Linked DNA regions of Caenorhabditis elegans. The protein of the gene in region 1 purifies or fractionates together with the protein of each later gene. This does not show direct contact. Each region holds a gene or a part of one and is shown on either strand. Other genes may lie near its edges. The genes, in order: eif-2beta, vdac-1, eif-2gamma and puf-3.

Evidence for each region.
Region 2: the proteins of eif-2beta (region 1) and vdac-1 fractionate together in Caenorhabditis elegans (co-fractionation; one large-scale study listed by BioGRID). This does not show direct contact.
Region 3: the proteins of eif-2beta (region 1) and eif-2gamma fractionate together in Caenorhabditis elegans (co-fractionation; one large-scale study listed by BioGRID). This does not show direct contact.
Region 4: the proteins of eif-2beta (region 1) and puf-3 fractionate together in Caenorhabditis elegans (co-fractionation; one large-scale study listed by BioGRID). This does not show direct contact.

What each region holds. Positions count from the first base shown.
Region 1 is NC_003279.8:8,026,071-8,029,493, forward strand, and holds eif-2beta (Eukaryotic translation initiation factor 2 subunit 2), read right to left. Parts: upstream 1,723-3,423; 5' UTR 1,693-1,722; coding exon 1,678-1,692; intron 1,631-1,677; coding exon 1,528-1,630; intron 1,479-1,527; coding exon 1,392-1,478; intron 1,315-1,391; coding exon 958-1,314; intron 911-957; coding exon 720-910; 3' UTR 545-719; downstream 1-544. Other genes in the region: C54G4.9 (RAP domain-containing protein), read right to left, coding at 1-90, 139-449. UniProt on the Caenorhabditis elegans protein: Component of the eIF2 complex that functions in the early steps of protein synthesis by forming a ternary complex with GTP and initiator tRNA.
Region 2 is NC_003282.8:7,505,921-7,509,732, reverse strand, and holds vdac-1 (putative voltage-dependent anion-selective channel), read left to right. Parts: upstream 1-1,841; 5' UTR 1,842-1,844; coding exon 1,845-1,908; intron 1,909-1,981; coding exon 1,982-2,122; intron 2,123-2,289; coding exon 2,290-2,459; intron 2,460-2,616; coding exon 2,617-2,874; intron 2,875-2,920; coding exon 2,921-3,139; 3' UTR 3,140-3,312; downstream 3,313-3,812. Other genes in the region: plc-4 (Phosphoinositide phospholipase C), read left to right, coding at 1-55; R05G6.5 (Uroporphyrinogen-III synthase), read right to left, coding at 258-296, 348-463, 515-594, 772-959, 1,007-1,150; Putative sodium-dependent excitatory amino acid transporter glt-6, read right to left, coding at 3,445-3,723, 3,768-3,812. UniProt on the Caenorhabditis elegans protein: Forms a channel through the cell membrane that allows diffusion of small hydrophilic molecules. Plays a role in maintaining mitochondrial morphology.
Region 3 is NC_003279.8:2,311,388-2,316,510, forward strand, and holds eif-2gamma (protein-synthesizing GTPase), read left to right. Parts: upstream 1-1,883; 5' UTR 1,884-1,923; coding exon 1,924-1,933; intron 1,934-1,987; coding exon 1,988-2,076; intron 2,077-2,120; coding exon 2,121-2,326; intron 2,327-2,383; coding exon 2,384-2,774; intron 2,775-3,608; coding exon 3,609-4,217; intron 4,218-4,268; coding exon 4,269-4,373; 3' UTR 4,374-4,605; downstream 4,606-5,123. Other genes in the region: 5-cytosine rRNA methyltransferase nsun-4, read left to right, coding at 455-658; tbca-1 (Tubulin-specific chaperone A), read left to right, coding at 1,123-1,311, 1,363-1,509; ekl-7 (PEHE domain-containing protein), read left to right, coding at 4,922-5,002, 5,053-5,123.
Region 4 is NC_003282.8:13,509,807-13,513,765, reverse strand, and holds puf-3 (PUM-HD domain-containing protein), read left to right. Parts: upstream 1-1,603; 5' UTR 1,604-1,620; coding exon 1,621-1,949; intron 1,950-2,021; coding exon 2,022-2,831; intron 2,832-2,878; coding exon 2,879-3,248; 3' UTR 3,249-3,459; downstream 3,460-3,959. Other genes in the region: m7GpppN-mRNA hydrolase dcap-2, read left to right, coding at 52-147; afmd-2 (Alpha/beta hydrolase fold-3 domain-containing protein), read right to left, coding at 371-469, 966-1,225, 3,493-3,571, 3,624-3,764.

The DNA.
Region 1 (3,423 bases):
GCGAGAATTTCGATTTTTTCAGTATTTTTCGCAGACTCGATTTGTTTCCAGACTTCTCTACAATCATCTGTTCTTAAAATCCAGCCGTGCCTGTAATAGTAAAAAAAGTGAACAAAAGCTGAATAAAATAAAACCTACTCTATCATTATCTCCACTGCAATTTCCACAGTGACAGATGATTGTTGTTTGATTATATAGTTACACATTTCTTCCAACACCGCTTGATTTTCCAATCGATTCATCATTTGTCGAACTACCGTTTCAGATATTTCTAGAGAAACCGTCAAGTCCCATGAAATAATTTCTTGTAAGCATCTAACGAAGACATCTTCACATTTTTCAGCGCTGAATTCTTCATCGAAATTCTGAAGAGCGAGAAGAACTTCTCCAATATTTTTGGAATCCAAAGCCTGTGAAAGTTTTGACAATGCACTCATAAGGTTAGTCATATGGTGCTGAAATATTGGGGATCCTTTGACTAAACTTGAACATGGAAAATACCTAAAAAGGTGAGAACAAATCATTCAATAAATTTGAAACACTTACTATGCCGAATTTATTCTCAAAACACGAATCGAATGAGAAAGGAAATGAAACTGGATAAAAATAAATACGGGGAAAACAAGGAAAAGAGAAAGCAAAACAAGAATTTCGGAAAAATGGAAAGAAGTACCAACCCATAAAAAGCCGGATAACAACCGAGTAAAGTTTAGAAAATATTACTTTCCAGCTGTAGCTTCTTCGGCTCGGCGAATTGCGGCACGCTTTCCTACGACAGCCTTGAATCCACTCTTGATTGCTGTAACAGAGCATCTGGAACCACAGTTAGTACATTGGAGGAAGAAGAGACGAGTATCCTTGGTGAGCTGTGTTTCTGGCGACTTGCAAGTATGGCACATTACGTACTCCTCTGAAATACAGAAAATATACAATTTTTGGGAAATTTCTATTTTTTACTGATATATTTCCGGAGGACACTTTCAAATTGTTTCTGTTGCCATCTTCCTTTCACAATCAAACAGTTACTTCCGTCGATGGATCCAGTCGTTCCCAATTCCGCGAGCAAAAATTGGAGCACGTGTTTGTCTTGTCTTTTCATAAGCCGGCAAATTTCGAGGAAGTTGGAGAAAGCAGTCTTCTTTGATCCAGCTCTTGCAACTTCTGGGAGCTTGATGGCGAACTTCTTCTTGTCTCCAGCAAAGTCTGGATTTTTGTCTTTCATAACCTGATAGACAAGAGTGAGAGCTTCTTCGTATGTGTAATCTGGCCATGCCCCTTTTGCATCGATCAAGTTTTGAGCTCCAATTCCGATTTCTGAATTCATAATTATTTATTTTGAAAGAGTATTGTGCAAAATTATAGTTTTATAACTTTGTAATAAAATATATTACCGAGAGTTGGAACTTTCTCTTCAACTACTTCTTCGCCGGCTGTCTTTGGAGTTTTCTTCTTCTTTTTAGCTCCAAGGTTTAGCTCGCCTGTAATTTTGATTAATTAACAATCAGATACACATCTTCATCAGCTCACCCAAGCCATCTTCTACAGCTTCTACGCCGGTCTCAACAGGAGCATCATCGCCATCGATTTTGATCACCTTCTTAGACTTCTTCTTTTTTCCGAGATCGAGACCCTGGAGAAATATAAATTCAATTTGAAGACGAGATAAATTAACTTTACCAAATCGTCAGCCATAGTTTGTTTGTTTTGCTTGAAGTACAAAACCTGGAATTGAAAAATCATTTAAATGAAGATGCGAAACGATTTTCATGAAGAAAGGTAGGCATTTTGAATCTCGTAATATACATACAATTTAAAAATACATTTTATTCACTAAGTTTTGAAGATTATTTGCCGTTTCAGTTATTTTAAAAGACAAAATGGGTTGCGAAATGCAAAAAATGAGAGAAAACTTTCAAGGCGCATGAAGAATGGCTGTGGTGAGGTCTCGCCACGATTTCTCTTTGAGGCTGGGGGAGATTTACGAGGAGTGAACACTTTTTTTTTTTTGTTCTCTAAATGAGAATTTATTTATTTTGTTCAATAAGATTAGAATATGCGAGTTTATTGACATATTTTATATATCTTTAGTTGATTTTCTATCGTTTTTCTATGATTGATAGTATTTTCTACTCTAACATCGAGTTCTGACGCACCTTTGAAAATTACTGACTTGGCAAGCAAAAATATATCTTCGCTGAATCCTTTTGAGCTGTTAAGTTTAACAAAAATATTAAAATCTATTTTAATGTATTGTTTTGAACTGATTAGTACATAATTGATACTCTCGTCTCTGTATTCCACTTGCCGTTACAATGTTCGTTGTTTTTCACTAGCCAGGACCGGTCTCACGGAAAATCATTGTGAAAAAAAGAAGCAATCTGCTATTAAATAATTCCCATGCGAATCCATATATGATCTTAGTACTGCCATTTACTTCTCATAGTCAGAAAAAATACATTTCTCTAACAATCTTCATATCAAAAAACAACCAAATCCGTCGGCATCGCATCACAAATCCGACTAGTTTGTGACGTGGGCCAATTCGTGCCTACCTCGTTGCTCTCAGCTTTTTCAGTTCTGATAGGAGGAGTGGGAGGATAACTAAATTGACAACAATCAGCTTCGTTATGGCATCCTTTCAATGGAAAGAATTGGTTCACCGATTGACAATGAGTATCTAAGCGCAGCTTTTGTGTGGAAAACGGAAGAAAAGGACGAAGAAGTTGATGTTGCAGGACGTTGGAGCAGAAGAAAGGCGGAGCTCTTAGTGTTGCGAGATTGGCAGCCGGAGACTCGTTGGCTCAGCCAGGCATATCGCCGACGAATTGCTGCTCTCGGGTCGCCGGTGTCGTCTCTGCTCTCTGCTTCATCTTGGCTCTTCTGACCCTCTCTCGTTCTACACGGCCGCGCATAACAGCAAATTCTCTTCGTTACTACGCTCATAGATTTGTATATTTCAAAACTGTAAAATTTCATATATTTATTCGAATTTAGAATACTTCTAATTCGTTAAGTGTGTCTGACTCTGAGGTTTTCTGAGGTCGTATTGAATATTAAATGCGGTATTTATTCCAGTTCCGTGAATTTAATAATAGGAATTTGCAGTTTTCAATCTATTTTACTTCTTCCTCCAGTTTTCTCAATCCAAATTTGTTAATTTTGATTTAAAAACATTTAACATCGTAAACCATATTTACCGTTGATTCAGTTTGTTGTTTATTTTCTTTCTTTTTTTTTGAAAAAAAAAGCGTATGCTTGTATTGTTTCTGAAGACGGTGAAACCAACGTTTGTAAAACAAAACAAAGTGACAACGCCGCTTCTTCACTATCATGGTGGTTTTTGCAGTATCATTAAAAGCGGAAACGGTTCAATCTTCTTATCACCAGTTTTGCGTCAGTATATGGAGAAAATTAAAAAATGGT
Region 2 (3,812 bases), on another chromosome or scaffold:
TCTGGACCCATCTGCATCTCTTTTTGTACGAATTGCAATGGAGGAAGAGTACTAATTCTCCTGCTTTTTAAACATATTTTTGAGACCAAAGCCGTTTTTATCACTACCTGTGTGTTATCTGATTACATGTAATATATGTTCTACTGCCCTTTCTTTCGCATAGTTTTGTAGTTAATTTTTAATGCATATTTTTAAAAAATTTATTGTTTTATTGGTTTATGGGTATTTACACTATATTATTTTTTAGAAACATAAACTTATTGGCGTAGTTGGTGTAGATAATCTGCGAGCCATTTCTGAAAGAGTCAAAAAAATCATGTTACTAAATGGTGTATTCGAAAACAAACAATTGGATTATCCGGTCTCTCAACTGCTACGCGAGCCAGTCCCTGGCTCAGTTTCGGCCATACTTCTACTGAGAGATAATCCTTGGCATGTTTCAGCATTGCTCTTTCGTCAATGTCTGAATATATTTTTATGGGAGAGTCAAAATTCTAACTTTATGGAATCTTACACTTGGGGAAAAAGAAAATTATATCGTGATAGGCGGCAATTGTCGTTTTTGAATAATATATTCCATCACTTGAACTCATTCTGAATTAAACGCTTGTGAAGTTTTAAAACTCTTCGGATAGATTTTTTGAAAAACCTCCAAAAGTGTGAAGGTTTCGTACCGAAACGAGACTACGGTAACGGTTATTTTCAACTGTGCGCAATGTTTTTCTTCCATTGTTTTTCAGTATTTTCGGATGTTTGTTGGTCTTTGCTCACCTCTTAGCGATCACATTGTGATATTTGGCCACTTCTTTCATCTCAATAAAAGCATTCGCTCGTTGACACAATAGTAACATGCATGGTCCGTCTATTAGCCTGTCTGATAAGTTCCAGATATCTTGGGATTCAAGATCAGCACTTTTCCACTCCATGACTTCTTCAGTTTTAAAATGCTTCACAGTTTTCTAAATAATCAGTTTCTTCTTCTTTAATTTTCATATATACAACTTACCTCTATAATCCCGAAGTTTTCTTTTGTTATGTGCTTCAGTACGGATTCATATTCATAGAAATAGTTCGGCAGAATAATTACAATTATTCTATCGACTAGGTTTGGATTTTCCAGTTGTGGCTTAGAGACTTCCGAGCGGTACATTTCGAATAGGTTAGATGCAAGTGACAGAAGTGAACTGAATTCGCTGAACCAGGTGATGCGGAAACTATTTGGATTTGTGCTCAATTTCCGGTACCATTTCCTGGTTTAACGCTAAATTTGAGATTTCTTGCTAATTTCATTTTGTTTCGTTAGTCAATATTTCTTTCATTGCATCAAATCTTTTCTTCTCAGTGCATCATTCAATTTTGAAAAACTGCCAAAATAATCCAGTACTTTTGGAAGCGGAGCGGTCGCGCTGCAGTAACCAGTCTCTGTGCCTCTCATTTTCGTCCTATGTCTCGAGACGGGCGGTCGCCGCGCCAATGTGCTTGCCTTTGAACTCTCAATTTGCTGTTGTGGCGTGATCTGTCCTTTCTCTATCGCATTCAATGTTTTCGATACCGTCGGAGTTTTATGTTACAAATGTTTGCTTCTGAATTTCCCGATAAGATAATTGTAAATCATTTAACTGAAACCCTGAATATATTTTTTGGCGATGTTGTGTTTTCTGGCGCATTGTTTATCGACTTCCTACTGCTGCCATTGAGTTGGTTTATCTCTTTCTTTCCGTTTTTCTCGTATGCACTGCTCAATGCAAACATTTTCAAAGCCTTCATTTTTCGAAAATTTCCTATTTTCCTTCTCTCGTGTAACTCTAGAATGCATGTTTCAAAAAATATTTTGTGTTTAGAAAATGGCCCCACCAACCTTCGCTGATCTTGGAAAGTCCGCCAAGGACCTCTTCAACAAAGGATACAGTAAGTTTCAATTTTATCTTTGTAGAGAGGAATAGTGTTAGGTCATTTATTCGCCTGATTAATTTTTTTCCAGACTTTGGATTCCTCAAGATCGACTCCACCACTAGAGCTGGAGACAACAAGGAGGTTGAGTTCAAATCAGCCGCTTCTCACAATATCGGATCCGGAAAGCTTGGAGGAAATCTCGATGTCAAGTACAAGATCCCACAATACGGTAAGCTCGTCTGAACATCTTATTGTCTACCCGCTAGATGGGGACAACCTCGTGACGCAGGTGATGCAATTGTATGTACTCTAAAACACCACGTGACGTCTAGCGACCGCTCAACAAAAATACAACATATTGTGTGAGAGATATCAATCATGTTGTTTCGTTTTCAGGAATCACTTTGACCGAGAAATGGAACACCGAGAACCAGCTCGGAACTGTTATCGAAGTTAATGAGCAATTCGGACGTGGACTCAAGGTCACTCTCGATTCTCTTTATGCCCCACACGCCGGAAAGAGAAGCGGAAAAGTGAAGCTCGACTGGGCTCTCCCAACTGCTAGAGTGAGTAGTCTTGTACATATTTTGGGTGATAAGATTGGCGAAGCTCGTCTCAAGCTTGACTGGAAGCATGATTGTTTCAGGGTTCGATTTTCTGAATGTAGAAATAGAGATTTCAAAAATCCATCTTTGTGAAATGAAACAAATTAGCCATTTACAGGTTACCGCTGATGTTGGAGTCACCTCTGCTCCAGTTATCAACGCTGCCGGAGTCTTCTCCCGTGACGGATGGCTCATCGGAGCTGCCGCCACCTTCGATTCTTCATCGAATAAGTTGGCAGCCACTTCTTTGGCTTTCGGACACTCCACTCCACAATACACCCTCCACTCTTTCGTTATTAACTCAACCGACTTCGGAGCTTCCCTTTACCACAAGGTTGCCTCCAACGTCGAGGTTGGAACTCAACTCGGATGGAAGGTAAACTTTTTAAAATCCTAGAACCAAAACTAAAGTGAATTTTCAGGTTGGTGGAAACGGAGCTGACTACGCTCTCGCCACCAAGTATGCTCCAAGCCGTGACCTTACTGTCCGCGCCAAGGTCAACAGCTCTTCCCAAGTTGCCGTTGCTGCCACACACTCCTTGTCTCCAGCTCTTAAGCTGACACTTTCCACTCAATTCAACCTTGCTGCCAATGATGCTCACAAGTTCGGACTTGGACTCGAATTCGATCCATCCAACTAGATCTTCCGATCACTTCCATTCTCCCATCAATAGCGTTCTTAAAATTCTTTTAGTCCTCAACCGTTGATTTTTCAATGTCGATTTATGTTCTCTAAACTTCGAAAAAAAAGAAATGTCATGCGCTATTTACTTTTCTGCTAAATTTTACAAACATAAATTATTGAGTTTCATCAGTGGCTTAAAATAGTAAAAATGATATGTACAAAACAATCCATGGGTTCTCGCGGAAAGAGGAGAGAATAACCGTTTTCTGTTTTGGAATGGAAAAGTGACATGGACAAAAAATGTAAATATTGATCATGGAACTACACGTTTTCATCGTTGGGCAGAGGTGTGTATGGTGGTTCAATGTTATTATTACGCCAGGAAAGATGCAAGTTGGTGGATGAAGGACGACGAGAGCCAATTCGTGATCCAATTCTTGAGTTTCCAGCTGTGTTCGCGTGTGTCAAGAAGAGCTCCTTAGAAGCTTCTGACATTGTGAATGATGGTCTTCTACTGGTGGCAGCTGACTTCAATAGTTCAATTTCTCCTTTCAGTTCAGTCTTATAATCGTGACGAGCGTCTGCTTGATCCAGCTTTTTCTTAAAATATACAATTGTCTCCAAGTTCGAGTTTTCTATCAAACCTGCAATAAATGCTGAACCATTGAAGCAGCAAACGCATCCCCTAG
Region 3 (5,123 bases), 5.7 Mb from region 1:
ACTCAATTTTTCAAAACAATATTCGGCTATTTTCCAATTTTAGTTTAAAAAAAATCGCATTCTGCATTTTTTTTTGCGCTCCCTGCCGTGTTTGCGTATTTTCACCGCTACAGTACCCCGAAATGCTCAAATTTTGCTCTGATAGTTTCACAAAAGTTTAAAATGTGAAGAAATCGTTTCTTTTAACACTATAAATCTCGAATTTTCACTAAACAGTTGAGAAAATCAAATCAAAATTTCAAATTTTGACGATTTCCGTTTAAAAATTTGATTCTGGCTTCAACTCTCGCCCGATCCCAACATTTTCCCTCAAAAAAAATCCCGAAATTCTGCATGCATTTTTTCGTAGGATCCGGTGATTGCGTACTTTCGCGGCTACAGTACTTCTGGCGTGTCGAGACCGGGGTTTTTTGTCGAAATAACAGCTCAAAAATGCTAATTCAAATTTCTTCAGGCAGTCGTCGAGAACGCTGTAGCCGTCGTACGCAATGACTTTGGAATCGTGACCGTCGAGGAATCCCTACATCAACTCGTATCCCATATGACGTCATCAGGCCTCTATCGTTTCCATGACACTCCACTGGGAGCCCTCGTCGTGCCGTTTCTACCCTCTAACTTTGGACCAATGTATATTTGCAAACTGACCAGATTGCAATAGATTTTTAATATTTGATGAATTTTTTTAAATTTCTAGATTTTGCTATTTTTTGTTTGTTTTTTTTAAATCTGAATTTTTAAATTTATGTCTTGTTTTAAAATTTTATTATTTATGCAGTACCCCCATGGGTGCATCTGCCGTTCCATCAGTACCTAATTTCAAATTCATAGAATTTTTCATTGATCCTTCTTGTTCGTTCTCTATGTATGTATTGCGAAATCATTTGAACAGTCGATTTTTTGGCGGGAACCTGTGTCGCCCAACAGACAGCGGTCAATTTGTATTTATTTCGAAATCGCCGAGCGTGTCTGACCATCTGCTCGCTTTCCCGTCCTTTTTCGGCTCATTGAGCACAACATTTTCGGTGGTATTGCGCCTTTTTCTATCGATTTTTAGTCCATAAAAGCAAGCTCACAATCTCGTTCTCTGTTTCAAAAATTCACATTGCAGAACCTCCCGCCGCCATGTCGACCCAAGCCGATCAGCTGAAAGCGCTCCGAATCAAGACGGGAACCGTGCAACGTCTCGTCAAAGAAGTCGCCTATTACGAGAAGCAAGTTGTGAAGGAGGAGCAGAAGGCTGCCCAACTCGCCGCCGACGCCACCAACGAGGACGAGGAGTATGTTGCCAAGAAGTCGAAGGATATTGTTAAGGTTTTTTGAAATAATCCGATTTACGAGTATACGAAATTAAAATATTTTCAGGAAACTGCCAACATGGTCCGCGATTCTCAATCACGTCTCCAAAAAGCTGTGGCCGACCTCCGTGAATCGATTGCTTCTGGGAATTATCCGGAGGAAGCCGCAGAATTCGTCAATGCGAAGACGCTTGTGGACTCCATTTCTGCTTAATTTATGATACTCTTTTGTTATTTTGGGATTTTCGGTGATTTATGATGAATAATTATTGCATTTTACTTGAATACATGGTTTATAATGCCGTATAAATAATTTTAAGAAGCAATTTCGCTAATATTTCCATACGAAAAATATACAGATGTCCGTTAATTCAACGATTTTTGCCTGGTTCGCGCTAAAAAGCAAAACATAAAATTCGAGCTCGTAAATCGACACACGAAATCGCATCGAGACCCTTCCAACCACTCCCATGCGCCTTTAACCCATTTCTAATTTTATCCAATTTTAGCCTGTTTTCTATGCAATCTTTATGGATTTTCAATTAATTTTGAGTAATTTCGATTAATTATAATGATAATTTTTTAAAGATCAATAATCGACTCAACTGGGATCATAAAAACAAAAAATATGGCTTCTGGTAAGTGTTAGCTTTTCGGTTTCAAGAAAATTTCATAATTCTTTCTTAATTTAGAAGCTGAAAAGGACAAGTGCCAGAGCTGGCTTGCGAAACAAGATTTGGACAAAGTCGGAGTCGATAATTTGAACCCACTCACCGAGGAGGTACTGAAAATCAATAATTTTTGAGTTAAAGAGTTATTTTTCAGGTTATCTCTCGACAAGCCACGATTAATATCGGAACTATTGGCCACGTAGCCCATGGAAAATCCACTCTGGTGAAAGCGTTCTCCGGTGTGCATACTGTCAAGTTCAAAAGAGAGTTGGAAAGAAATATTACTATCAAACTTGGATACGCTAATGCAAAGATCTACAGATGTTCTAACCAAGAGTGCCCAAGGCCAGGATGTTACAGGTTATAATATCTCCCTGAAATTTAATTTAAATAAATAATTTTTGAATTCTAATTCAGATCCGCCGGTTCATCAACACCCGATCGGTTCCCATGCGAGCGCGCCGGATGCGGTGGAGAATTCACCTGTGTTCGCCACGTCTCATTCGTCGATTGCCCAGGTCACGACATTCTTATGGCCACCATGTTGAACGGAGCCGCTGTCATGGACGCCGCGTTCTTGCTCGTCGCCGGAAACGAACCATGCCCACAGCCACAAACATCTGAACATCTCGCCGCCGTCGAGATTATGCAGCTGAATCATTTGATGATTCTTCAGAACAAGGTCGATATTATCAAGGAGTCGCAAGCCCGCGAAAATTACGAGCAAATCGCCGGATTTGTGCAAGGAACGGTCGCCGAGAATGCTCCAGTCATCCCGATTTCTGCGCAGCTTAAATATAATGTTGATGTAAGGATCTGAATCTGGATTTAAATATACCACGCTCTCCTCAAGTGTTCATAATTATTAGAGCGCGCTCGCGCGGCACCACACGAACTCCAGAATTCGCGGGAATTCGTTTCGCGGGGACAGCAGTTTTTGGCTATATTCGGCTTCTATGGAAATTATTTTTAATTTTTTTGATTTATAATATTGTTGAGAAGCACCATCCGAATTGAAAATGTGTAAAATTATGAAATCTGACCGAAAACTGAAGTTTTTACAGAGAGGAGTCACCACGGCTTTCTTTAAAATGTATCAGTACCGTCAGTTTTTCGAATTCAGAGTCGTAAAATATGTCATTTTGTAAGTCTGTTTCACGAAAATCCATGTTTGAAATTTTAATTTTTTAATTTCTAATATAAAAATATTCAAAAAATCAACAATTTTACGTTAGAATCTAATTTTTTCAAATTTTCAGTTTTTCATAAGAACAATTTTAAAATTTCAAACATGGATTTTTGTGAAACAGACTTTTCTCTACAAAATAACATATTCTACGACTCTGAAATCGAAAAACTGACTGTACTGATACATTTTAAAGAAAGCCGTGGTGACTCCTCTCTGTAAAACCTTCAGTTTTCGGTCAGATTTCATAATTTTACACATTTTCAATTCGGATGGTGCTTCTCAACAATATTATTAAACAAAAAATTAAAAATAATTTCCATAGAAGCCAAAAACAGCCGCCTAAAACTGCTGTCCCCGCGAATTCTGGAGTTCGTGAGGGGCCGCGCGAGCGCGCTCTAATAATTATGAACGCTTGAGGAGAGCGTGTATACTAGATTAATTGCGATTTTTCAGCTCGTTTGCGAGTATCTTTGCAAGAAAATCCCCGTGCCAGTCCGTGACTTCAAGTCGCCGGCTCGTCTCATCATTATCCGATCATTCGATGTTAACAAGCCAGGATCTGAAGTTGAAAACTTGAAGGGAGGAGTCGCCGGAGGAACATTGACCAAGGGAATTCTGCGCGTCGGACAAGAAATCGAAGTTCGCCCGGGAATCGTCTCAAAAACCGCGACCGGTCAACTCCAATGCCGTCCGATCTTCTCCCGTATCGACTCTCTGTTTGCCGAAAAGAACCAGCTGGAATACGCCGTTCCCGGCGGTCTCATCGGTGTTGGAACGAAGATCGACCCGACACTCTGCCGTGGAGATCGACTCGTCGGTCACATCCTCGGAGCCGTTGGCACTCTTCCAGATATCTTCATCGAAATTGAAATCTCCTTCTATCTTCTGAGAAGATTGCTCGGAGTTCGTACTGAAGGAAAGAAGAAGGGAGCCAAGGTGCAGAAGCTTGTCAAGGAAGAGACTTTGCTGGTGAACATTGGATCGTTGTCAACGGGAGGAAGAGTTACTGCTGTGAAGGGAGACGCCGCGAAGATCAGATTAAACGATCCTATTTGCACAGAGGTAATTCCCACTTTTTATAAAATAATAAATTTAATTTGTATTTAAATTCAGGTTGGAGAGAAGATTGCCATGTCACGTCGTTTCGAGAAGAGTTGGCGCCTGATTGGCTGGGGAACCATTCGCAAAGGTCAAACCGTTGAGCCGTACAAGAACTAGCGGCTATCATCGATTTGTTGTCTACACCGGTTTTGACATATTATTAATCTTTTCCAATTGTTTCTCTCCGTTTTTGTCTCTCTATTAGTCCAAAAAATTTTGTCGGATCCCTGTTTTGGTTCTTTTTTCTGTCCTCCTCCTGTTTCCTACTATTCCACTTCCAGTTTCATTGATTATTTTTCTTTTTGTTGAAAGTGTGCTTGGTGTTTTTTCGATAAATTATTGGATTTGAGTAAAATCTGGAAATACATTTTATAATTGCAGCAAAGATTCAGGTTTTGAAAAACAAAACGAAAAGTGCAGGCTACAGTAACCCACCTTAAAGGGAGGTTTCATTCCTTGCGCAGATGGTCTCGCCGCGATGAGACTTTTGTAGAATGTTTACGGTGTTGTAGGCCGCTAGAAAATTTTCGAATTTCATCTGAATTTCTCTTTATTTTCTCCAATTTTCTCAAATTTTTGTTCGAAAATCTGAATAAAATGTATAAAACTTTTATTTTAACGCCTCGATCGGATAAAACATACACTCTAAATGATAAATTTCAGCGATGCCGGCCCCGAAATTCATCGAAGGTCCGAACACTGTTCAAACGTCACTTTACGGCTATGACAGGAGCAAGAAAGTGCAGGTAATACTCTGAATTGTGCGATTTTTTCCACCCACTAAAACATAACCTAGTTCCAGCTGAACAATTTACGCGGGAAACCAATTATGGTGCTCCGTTCTGATACGGTCATTCCAAAAAACGA
Region 4 (3,959 bases), on another chromosome or scaffold:
GTACTTTTTTTTACAAAAATATTATAGATTTTACAACTAAAAAAATTCCAGCTTGACATTGATTATGTGGTTGGACCATTGTCATTTTGGATGCAACAATTCTCTACAAAATCTCCCGTTTCTGGCACTGGACCACAATTACCATAAATAAAATATAATAAAATACTTGTAATTTCAATATATATTCACTCTTGTCTGTATCTTTTTTTTTTTGCTCCTAAACCCACATGTTTCCTATCTATTTACTTCATTTTAGTCATGAAACCTTGTTAAACAATTTGCTATATTTTAAGGTTTTCATGTAGATTTGTAGGTTTCCCACACCCAACAAGAAATCTGATTTTTATTTTTTGGAAAAAAAAATGTACAATTAAATTGAATAAAGAAAGTTGAAGAAGTCGGCGTACACGATGCTCTCCTCTTTTGTGAGCTCTGTCAGGATTGTGAAATGATCTTCATTTTCGTATTCCTGAAACAAAAATGGTCTCGACGCGACAAATTTTTGCTGATTGCGAAAATACGTGCGCCTTTAAAAAAAGACTACTGTAATTTTCTCGAAATTTCATAGATTTTTGTTGTTTCCTCGTGTTTTATCATCCAGACGTGAGATTTTATGGGGTTTGCGTCAAAAATACCATACATGGTCTCGACACGACGAATATGAAAAGGTGTGCGCCTTTAAAGAGTACTGTACTTTTGAAATTTGGTTTTTGCGGAATTTTAAATAATCTATTTTCTTAAGAATGTGTTTTTATCGTAATATATGAGTTTTCCAAATAAAATAAATATATTTTTAAATCTACAGTAATCTTTAAAGGCGCATATATCTGTTCTCATTTAGCAAAAATCTATCGTGTCGAGACCAGGTAACGTGGTTTTGGCGTGAAACTCGTTAAAAAAATATTTTAAAAATCGTGCCAAGACCCTAAAACGGGGTTTTTTTTTCGGTCCAAAATAGCTCAAACCTTGTACTGAGCATTTGCAACTTGACTAGAAAAATCCTGATTTTGTTGGTACAACTTTGGGGATTCCCGTCTGCAACATGCGATTAACACCGGGAACCGGACATGCTTCATAAGCTCATAATCACAACTACAAGTTTCTGCTTCTTCTGAAGTCAACCCAAGATCGTGACCATAAGTCGTGGAAGTCAGTTCTTGAATTTTGTAGATGCCCGCGCTGAGGTAGGCACCACTGATTCGGGGGTCATGGATCCGTGTTACAGCTGGAAATATTTTTTTCTTTGATTTAACAAAAAAAAAGCGCTATTTTTTTGCACAGAGTGAGAATACAAGAACTTTTCATAAATTTTATTCCTGGTATGCAAAATTTATCAATCGTGGCGAGACCCATCGGCGCAGCGTCGACATGCGCCTTTAAATTCTACAGTACTTTATTTCGTTTTTGCGCGGGAAATTTTGGATTTTTTATTTTAACGCGGGATTTTTTGCATTTTGGTTCCTGATTTCTTCATTTTTGTTCATTTTTTGTCTTCGAGGACGCGTCCCAAAATTTTGCTCTCTTATTTTCATTAATTCTATCGTATTTTCCACTTATTCCGTCCATTCAAACGTCGATGTCTTCCAAAAAAATAAATTTTCAGGTAGTCTCCGTACCAATATGAGTCAAAACACCGGTTCCTCTAACCTCGGTCGCTACTACGAGAGCCCGCCAACGGCGACGGAGGCTCGTGGCACATTCGGTGGTTGCTTCAACGCCAACAGCTCCACCAACATTTGGACGCCGAATCGGAAAGTGGACTCTTCGATGGGATTTCGGAGCTCCTCACCGACACCACAGAGCGCTTGGGCTCCGAATCGTCAAGGATTTGGAGGACAATTCTCCAAATGGCGCACTTCTACACCGATGACGACTCCGGCTCGTTATCCTCAACAGGCCGTTAGACTTATCGATTTGGAGAACAACGCCTCGTTCTCGAAGTCTTTGAAGTGAGTTTAGAGTTTTCCAGTGACTTGGAGCCTCAATTTTTAAAACTTTCAAAAAAATAATCAAATTTTCAGCTCGACCACCCGCAGCCACAAATGCACACTTCCAATCTGGGCTGGCGACGGCGAGGGAAATGTCTCGGACTCGGTCACTCTTCAGGATGTGCTCGCCAACGATGCTCTCGTGGAATTTGCCACCGATAAGAATGGATGCCGATTCCTTCAGGAGCATTATCCAACGGAGAACGACAACGACGTCCACCAAAAACTCTTCCGTAAACTGGTCGAGGATCGTGCCATCTTCTTGTCGCTCTGCTCTAACATGTTTGGCAACTTCTTTGTGCAACGTGTCTTGGAGTGCTCGAACACTGAGGAGCAGGAGATTCTTACGGAGCACTTGGCTACTGATTTGTACAATCTCTGCCTTGACAAGAGTGCGTGCCGCGTCATTCAACTGGCTATTCAGAAGCTTGATGTTCATCTTGCGACTCGTTTGTCGTTGGAGCTCCGTGACACGCACCTCGTCCGTCTCAGCATCGATCAAAACGGAAACCACGTGATTCAGAAGATTGTCAAGACGCTTCCAGTCTCTTCGTGGACTTTCCTCGTGGATTTCTTCGCCGACGACGACAATCTCATCCACGTTTGCCAGGACAAATATGGGTGCCGTGTCATTCAATCGACCGTCGAAACTTTGTCGACTGATCAATATGCTCAGTGCTACCAGCATCGTGTCATTCTTCTTCGCAGTTTGATGGCTGGAGTCACTCGTAACTGCACCCAGCTGGCTTCCAACGAGTTTGCGAACTACGTGGTACAACACGTTATCAAGTGTGGAGATGCGTTGGCTGTCTACAGAGATATCATCATTGAGCAGTGCCTTCTGTATGTTTTATATAGTCAAATTTTCAAATGTATTTTTCCATTTCCAGGCAAAATTTGCTCTCAATGTCACAGGAGAAGTACGCTAGCCACGTGGTCGAAGTGGCGTTTGAATGTGCTCCATATCGCCTCGTTGCCGAGATGATGAACGAGATCTTCGAAGGATATATTCCACATCCGGATACAAATCGTGATGCTCTCGACATTCTGCTCTTCCATCAATATGGAAACTACGTTGTTCAGCAGATGATCCAGACTTGTGTTCTCGGTCAGAATGCTCGAGATCAAAAGCAATCGGAGATGTACGGCATGTGGCTCGAGAAGATTCACGGACGAGTGATGCGAAACGCCCACCGCCTCGAAAGATTTTCGTCGGGCAAGAAGATTATCGAAGCGCTCCAATCAATGTCCTTGTACTAGATACACATAGGCAATTTTTATTCATTTCCATTTGAATCCTAACCCCCACCATCACCCAACTCACGTGTATACTATTATTATTTTTATTATTATATTGCTAGAAAATTGTAGAAAGAGTATTGCAACCTCTTCTATATTATATGAAGACCCCGGCCCCCGTTTTGCACAATAATTGATATAAATTCTGTGAATAAAGAATTTACAAACTTCCAGATTTAATTGCAATATTTTGTTTAATTATTACCTTGAAATGCGAGGTGTGCTCCGACTGAGTGTCCTCCAATCACAATTTTCTTCGCATTCTTGAACTTTTTCAGAGCAAACTGGAATTTATATTTTAGAACATTTTCTGAAATATTTAAATTTCCCGCCAACCTGAACTCCTTCCAAAGCTTCAACGATCGTCTTGCTCAATACATGATCCTTGTTGGCATAGTCGTATCCCACGCTGACTACAGTGTAGCCAAGCTTTTGTGCCACGTGGACGACAGCCAAACATTTCTTTCGGTTTCCAATCTGGAGATTTTCTGTTTTTGTGTGCTCTCCACATGTTACGAGAACACAAAATTCGGAGAATGCGTATTATGTAACATATTTGACGCGCAAAATATCTCGTATCGAAAACTACAGTAATTCTTTACATGGCTACTGTAGAGGTTGTGTCGATTTACGGGCTCGATTTTCTAAATGAATTTATTTTCTCCATTTTTT